2 linked regions of the Danio rerio genome follow. The protein of the gene in region 1 purifies or fractionates together with the protein of each later gene. This does not show direct contact. Links are inferred from orthologs where the notes say so. Each region holds a gene or a part of one and is shown on either strand. Other genes may lie near its edges.

The links. The genes of interacting proteins can lie anywhere in the genome.
Region 2: the proteins of psme2 (region 1) and psmb7 purify together in Homo sapiens (affinity purification with mass spectrometry; 4 studies listed by BioGRID and IntAct, counting the BioPlex papers as one, with this or other methods). This does not show direct contact. The link is inferred for Danio rerio from reciprocal best matches to the Homo sapiens genes PSME2 and PSMB7.

What each region holds. Positions count from the first base shown.
Region 1 is NC_133187.1:13,894,813-13,898,569, reverse strand, and holds part of psme2 (proteasome activator complex subunit 2), read right to left. Parts: intron 1,500-3,757; coding exon 1,402-1,499; intron 1,316-1,401; coding exon 1,247-1,315; intron 256-1,246; coding exon 188-255; intron 1-187. UniProt on the Homo sapiens protein: Implicated in immunoproteasome assembly and required for efficient antigen processing. The PA28 activator complex enhances the generation of class I binding peptides by altering the cleavage pattern of the proteasome.
Region 2 is NC_133196.1:9,696,600-9,700,750, reverse strand, and holds the start of psmb7 (proteasome subunit beta type-7), read right to left. Parts: upstream 2,801-4,151; 5' UTR 2,705-2,800; coding exon 2,643-2,704; intron 709-2,642; coding exon 615-708; intron 537-614; coding exon 439-536; intron 352-438; coding exon 211-351; intron 1-210. UniProt on the Homo sapiens protein: Component of the 20S core proteasome complex involved in the proteolytic degradation of most intracellular proteins. This complex plays numerous essential roles within the cell by associating with different regulatory particles.

The sequences.
Region 1 (3,757 bases):
ACACGATCCTGAAAATATGGCTGGTTTCATCTACTCCAGTTGATCTTTCTTGGAAACTCTACGTACTGGACATTTTGGAATATACCACAGCCAACTATTACTTTATTTATTATATTTGACTTTGCTTTACTTTGCTTTGTTGTATATAATTCAAAATCTAAAATATTTAATAAAAAAATGCTCATACTTGTTAATGTTGGTCTGGAATCCCTCGACTTTGGTCTTCACAGCAGTAATCCTCTCAAGGATTTTTTCCTAAAATATTAAAAGTCATTTTAGCCACTGGTTATCTTAAAATGAACAATATGAATGCACTGCAAAAAAAGCTTTTCTTCCTTAGGTTTTTTGTCTTGTTTCTAGTCCAAATATCGAGGGAAAAAAAAAAATATATATATAAATATATATATATCAACCAAGAGGCATTTTTACAAGCAAAAATGATTTTGTTTTCAGAAATAATATGCCAAAATTAAGGAGAGTTTTTTCCTTAAAACAAGCTGTACAATCTGTCAATGGGGTAAGAAACAAGATCTTGTTTTTACTTACTATAATAGCATTTTTCTTACCCCACTGGCAGATTATACAGCTTGTTTTAACAAAAAAGTCAAAATGCTATTCATCATAATATCTTTAAAACAGTTCCTCCACTGCCATCCAAAGCCACACTTCCTGAAACACGAATGCGTGCACCTTAAAGATGACAGTAAAAAACCCACTAGATCATGTCAATCGCCAGTTAGAAAACTTTACAGTACTTTATCATACTACTAATCAATTGAAAAACTCTTATATCTGTAATGTTTTCAGTTGTGTAGCAAGAGAAACTTGTCATAATGTGCAATATTTCATGCATGCAAAGATCGCTGGTCTCACTCTCTCACGCACTTTTTTTCTAAAGTGACTACTGTATGCTTAGTGGTTGGCCGACGGGGTGCAGAAATAACATTTATTACTAAGCCATTGTACAATTAGAATTTCAAATATCATATAAATACATTTAGATAATTTATTTTAATCATTTTTAACCAGCAAAAAAAAAAAAAAAAAAAAAAAATGTTTCTAAAGACAATCACCTAATGCACCTTTTATTAAGACAATCTGTTTTGCTTGTCTATAAAATGCTTCTTGAGTTAAGAATTGTATATAGTTGGACTAGAAACAAGACAAAAACTCTAAGTAAGGAACACATTTTTGGCAGTGTTTATATAAACCAGCTATCTTTAATTAGGTGTTAAAATGTAATAACCTGAATTGCAACTCCAAAGTCATTTCCATCTTCAATTTTGGGAATCAGATGAGCAATCCAGCAAGAAACCTGAGGAAAAAAGGATAAACTACTGCAAAATGACTGTATATCTGGTACAAATCTGAGAACTCTCCTAAAACCTTTTTCCCACTTACAGTGATACAGGTCTCCTTCAGACCCATTATCTCTGGTTTCACAATGTCAAGTAACTTCACAATCCTTTCATTTCCTTTGATGAAACCACACTTGGGAGCTAAAAAAAGTCACATTACAATTAATATTTCATATCTCCACAACATTTTACAATTATTATACTTTAGCATGCATACAGTACATACAGCACACAGGTTTTAATTGTGAGCATTGTGATCCACATTTCTCTGCATCTAAATTGTGAAGAACACTTATTTTTATATGCTAAGCAGGTTCCGTTATAATTGTTTTTAACCAGGTTATTAGGTGCTGACACCTTGTTAGTTTTAATTATTAATTTTTGAGTTTTATTTGAACCCACACAATGTGAGGTAAGGAAATATTGCAATGTCAAGTTTTATGCAATTTTGTTGTGCCAATAACTAAACCCTGCTCAAGTTATTTCATTATAATTACCCTGCTCAAGGTATTTTATTATAATCAGTCATTTCTCCTCTTTAAGGAATAGCTTACCCAAATATCTATATACTCTCTGTTTTTCTACTACAGGACGTTGATTGTTTGTTGCACTTTCAGTTTTCTTCAAAATATCTTAAGTGGTTTCAAATATTTATGAGTTTCTTTCTTCTTTTGAACACAAATTAAGGGTGAGTAAATAGTGGGTAATGTTTCATTTTTGGGTGAATTATCCCTTTAAGTCAACTTCCCAGACATTTAAGGTGTGTTCACGCTTGTAGTTGTCTTGATTTGTTTGGGCAAAAAAAAAAAAATCAATTTAGCCCTGGTTCAATTAACTGTCATTTTTAGGACATAAGCTTAAAATAAACAATAAAGTATTTATATTTATGTATATTGTAAGCTTGCTTTGTTAAGAACTTGTGAAGAGTTTAAAACATGAAAAAACAGATATGCTCAAGCATTCTGTGAACCTGAGATGGGTGAACCTTGCGACATCATATTCTGTTGTAACATTTATATTTCAATGAAACCCAGAGTTTCTTTGTTCAGTGTGCACCAAGTGTCAGATGACACTGTTCACACTGCTTTAAAAGAACTGGAGCACCAAATAATCACACCACTGTTTACCATTGTGCACTTGTGAGTATGCTTCACACAGGTGAATTAGCTTGACAAACAACCTGTGGGAAACACTTTTTTCTTTCCTCTCTATATGTGCCAGACTTTTTCTAATCAAAACAACAATCACGGGTGTGCTTTACACAGGTACCTGTGTAAAGCACAGGTTTACAAAGCACCTGTAAGAGACACACTCTTTTCTCATTCTCTACACACCAGACACTCTTAGTACAAAGACTCAACAAACAGATAATCAACTCAATGAATTAAGACTTGGAATGGCATCCACATGTTGCCACTCTGGTGATTGAAAGTTCTTTTTTCCCCATTTGTAAATGGCTTTTATAAAAGTGTCTGCTAAATTAATAAATGTAATACATTATGCACTATTACACTTAGCCATTTACTGTATAAATTTAATCGCTTTTCAAATGGAACACTAACATTTTTTAGGACTCATGTTTGGACTGTGTTTGCCCTGTACTATGTGCTTGTGTTGTGTTTACTTCCCCATGTGCTCCATGTTAATTTGATTCAGGTGTGTTTGGTCATGTGGTTCCTTTTTCTGTTTCCCTCCCTCGTTATCTTGTAGTATGTTCACCTGTTATTGTTATTATTTGTGCATTAAGTTCCTTTCTTCCCTTTCTGTCTGGTCTTGAATGTCTACCCTGTGTTTATCGCCACTGGCTTACATGGTTTAGGACTTGTAGAGCTGCACATCGATGAATTTAAGCTGCGGTCACACTGGGCTTTTCCTCCCATAGATTTCTATTCATATGCACGCGAATGCGTCAGACTGGAAACGCAGGGTCATGCGTTAAGTTTCGCAGGTTGCGGCTGTGCAAAGTTCAAGCTTGGTGAACTCTGACCTGCGAAATCGCATCACTTGACTGCATGAGACCAACCGAGGATCAAAACATGACCTCTCTGGACAGAAATTTTAAACATGGAGCAATTGCTCGCTTTTTTAATGCCTATTAATCTTGTTTAATTCTGTCTTTTTTCGCAACGCCGTACGACAGAATTTCGCACACACAAACTCTAGTGTGACCGCAGCTTCACACTTCAGTGTTTGGATTATCAGGAGTGAAAATAAAACCACACTGAGCTAAAGTGAACTGAACTTAAACTCTGACAACTAAACTGACATGGTTTCAATTCACTATAATCTTCTATGTGAATCTGCTTTGGCACAATTTACATTTTGAAAGTGCTATAGAAATAAAGATGAATTGAATTGTTTATACTCCTGTGCTGCATTCCTTTTTACTTCTAGAGATG
Region 2 (4,151 bases), on another chromosome or scaffold:
CAGTCATTTCAGTTTAAAGGCCATAAAAAGAACACGTATACTTTCCATTAAAGTGAAATTACTGAACCTACACACAAAATGCTCGTTTTAGACAAAAAAAAAATACAAATCAGAAGGCACTAAGAGGTTTTTGCTTTTAAACTCTTCATTTAAACATCAGAATTCTACATTTAAGATCTATATTGCACACGCAGAATAGGTGTTTGTCACCTGAAGAGCATCTGTTTGAGCATGCGGTTTGCTGTGGCGACTCGTGGCAGACGACCGGTGGACAGAGAATGAAGCTCCAGGTTGGAGGAGATGATCTGTGTGGTCATCTCAGTGTCCGCCGCTGTACCTGCTCCACAACAGCTATGCAACAAATCAGAAAAACATGCAGTGTCATTTGATGTCAGGGATCAAAAACTACAAGCATGCATGACGTGAGTTTATACTCACTAAATGTTGGGAGAGATGTAGTGAATTTTAGAGCAGTTCTTATCAGCGACGATCATTCCTTCAGTTGCACGAGTGTCTGCACCTAAAACAACACCATCCTGAGACAGAAGTGAGACGTGAGTATCTAGTCAAACCTTGGATTTCACACATTAAATTCAACTGTTTTTTTTTCTTACCTTATAAACAATCCCACAGATAGTGGTTCCGGTTTTACGGGCAGCAGGAGAGCTGAAACCCAGTTTAGTGATGTCTGCCTCCAGAAGAGCATTTCTAAAATAGCACAAAGGTTTTATTTTGTTATTTAATCTCTGCTATTTTCTTATGGGTGTTATGCAACAATATGTTTTAGAAATCAATAGTATACAGAAGAATGTCAATAACAAATTCTAAAATCTAAGATCTTTTGACAACTAGTTGACACTTTGCACTTATCACCACTTATTGATTCACACTTATACTGTACATATAAGCATGGTCTGGTATAAGATTCTGACGGTAAGACAACCTTGGATGAAAGTTTTATGGTTTGACAGTATTGTGATTGCTGCTCTAAAATATATTATTTTTAAATGTCTGGGTAAAAAAAAAAAAAAAAAAAAAAAAAAAAACTAAAATTCCTCTTTTGAACACAATTTTGTTGTATTTTGAAAAGGAAATAAAAATAACGGTATAGCAGAAAATGCCGGTGGTTTTAAAACCTTGACTTTTCCAAAGCACGGTAAACCTTGAAAATGGTAATCATTCTATGCCTATGTACATATGTATCTTTGTGTTGTTCATAAAAACAATAAAAAACTTTAGACACAAACAATAAGTGAATTATTTGATTTAGCAGCTACTAAAAGACTCTTTTTATTCATTATACTAATCTGCTCATAAGACATTAAACAGAAATGATTTAACAAATTAAAAATAAACAAAACTTAAGTTCATTTAGATTTTTGTGTACAAACCTGGTACAAACACATGACATCGGGGCTGCAGAGTGTCAGTGTAAAAAAACACTACTAGTAAACTAAAAAAAATAAAAATAAATAAAAAAAATACATTACAAAATTACAAAAAAACTAAATTGTATATTTTATAAATAATATATACATTAGTTTGTGTTTTTACGCAATTAAACGGATTCAAAAGAGCTGGAGCTAATTAAACTGTGTTCAAAATTTTCCTGAGTCATTCACACGGGCCATAACTAAATGGTTCATAATAAAAAAGATGGGTTTGCTCAGCTCTCTATCTTACAAAAATCTGCTCTAAAATGGATAATATCCAACATTAACAAGCAGAAAGCCACTAGTTTTTCCAGTCAGCAAATGTACAACAAGCATTATGTTTTACATTCACGTTGACTGTATGGATCAGATACAGATCTCCTGCTTTCTCACCACTCCTTTATTCACATATATAAATATTCCGGTTTATAAAAGAAACTAAGTCGGGTTAAAGGAAATAATATAAAAGAAATCATAATTTAAAAGACGTACAATAACTTAAGTATTGGATTCATCTGTTCCAAAAAGACCCACCTGTATATGCAACTTAACCTTTCCGTTGAGTAAGTTTTAAATACAAATCAAATGGTTTTTTGACTTAAAATGTATTTATATATGAATGAAACTCACTTTAATTTACACTTTAAAAGTCAGTTTGGTGTAACGTTAATTGAGATACAGACTGTGTGGACGGGGTCCGCAGCCCACCAATAACAAAACATGAACAATGATTTTGTGTTTTACCTTTTAAAACATCAAACTCAAACCGCACCGTGTATTGATTAAATAAAAAAATGTTTTAGGCCAGAACAGAATGAAAAACAAATTAATCCACAGTTTACATGCTCATTTTTGTTGTGAACTTGCATACACACTTTAGGTGTGGGGTCCGCAGTCCAACAATGACAACACATTATCAACACTAACAAAAAAACGTACTCTTTCATATTAATAAACATATATATTTATATATTTTTTTATTTCACACAGAACGCAATGCTAATCATAATGTGTTTTACTTATTAAATCCGCTATTCAAATAAGCTTGAGCAAATTCTCCTGAGTCATTCACACAGGCCGTGGCTCAACCGATCATTAAAATGCCGTTAAACTTGTTTTAAACTCTCGGGCTTTTCGACGAATTAAAAACACAATAATTATCCAACGTCCCCGGCATAATAACAAATGATACAGACGCTTAAAACTCACCTCCTACAGTTTTCGAAACTGAAACCGCCGGGCTGGTACTGGCACACTGAGACGGTCGCCATGATTCTGCGGTCTCGCTTCCGGGAAGCGCTAGACTAGTTTCCCTCTGTGTCACACGTTAGAGCTTCCGCGCTCCGCCTCACATCTATAGGATAAGCAGTGTAGGAACCTATAGAGTAGGAATATATACCGTGTAACACGTGTCTCTGCTTCAGGCGCTCCCGCCAGATCATCCGCATATAGTTTTTATCGAAAGAGTTTACACGACAAAGAAATGTACACATTATAAGCCATTATAAAACGGATGATTTCTCTACTGAAAATAAAAGAGTTGGTTTTGAGTTGTCACGCTTTTATTTCATGGAATATTCTTCTGGATAGGCTTGTTCTCAAATTACATTTGTGTACAGTAAACCTAAACCTGCATATTACCCATTTTATTTCCATAAAGAAGCTATCAAACTGGAGTAAGTTGGTTAGAATCATTGTGAGACAATAATTATTTGCAGTAAAAAAATAAATAAACATCTTTAAAATTGTTTTTATCCCCCTTTTCTTTTTTCTCAGAACTGAGATCATGGTTTTAGAAATACTTGTGTAATATATGCCAAAATATATCTACAAATAACATTTAATATTTGAATATCTATTACCTCCAAGTCCGAGGCCATAGGGCTCCACCGGGAAAATGAGGTTTGCAATATATCCAGGTTGGAGGAAAGTCCTTACCCCATGTGGAGAAGTTGAAGTATTGGGTTTTGTTCCTGAGTGAAGGAAGGATGGAATGTGAGATTGGCAGGCGGATTGGTGCAGCAGCAGCAGTAATGTGGTCCATTGTTGTTAAGAAGGAGCTGAGTTGAGAGGCAAATCTTTACCGGTCAATCTACGTTCCATCACTTATGGTCATGAGCTTTGGGTCATGACCGAAAGGACAAGATCTCGGATACAAGCGGCTGAAATGAGTTTCCTTCTCAAGGTGACAGGGCGCACCCCTATAGATAGAATGAGGAGCTCTGTCACCCGAGAGGAGCTCGGAGTAGAGCCTCTGCTCCTCCACATTGAGAGAAGTCAGCTGAGGTGGCTCTGTTTCGAATGCCTCCTGGACGCCTACCTAGGGAGGTGTTCCAGACATGTCCCACCGGAATTAAGGAGGCCTCAGGGAAGACCCAGGACACGCTGGAGGGTTCTTTCCTAAAACTACTGCCCTCGCGACTCGCCCCAGGAAAATCTTGAAAATGAATGAATGATTTTATTTTTGGAGGTGACTAAATTATTGGTGGGAGCATTTTAATAATCTGTGGATAATGGTGGTGACATGTACCCTCAGTCCATGCTAATTCTACACCCTTGATCTAAAGCACAGGTGTCAAACTCAGTTCCAAAAGGGCCGCAGCTCTGCACAGTTTAGTTCCAACTCTAATTAAACAGACCTGATCAAACTAATTGAGTCCTTCAGGCTTGTTTGAAACCTACAGGTAAGTGTGTTCGAGCAGGGTTGGAACTAAACTG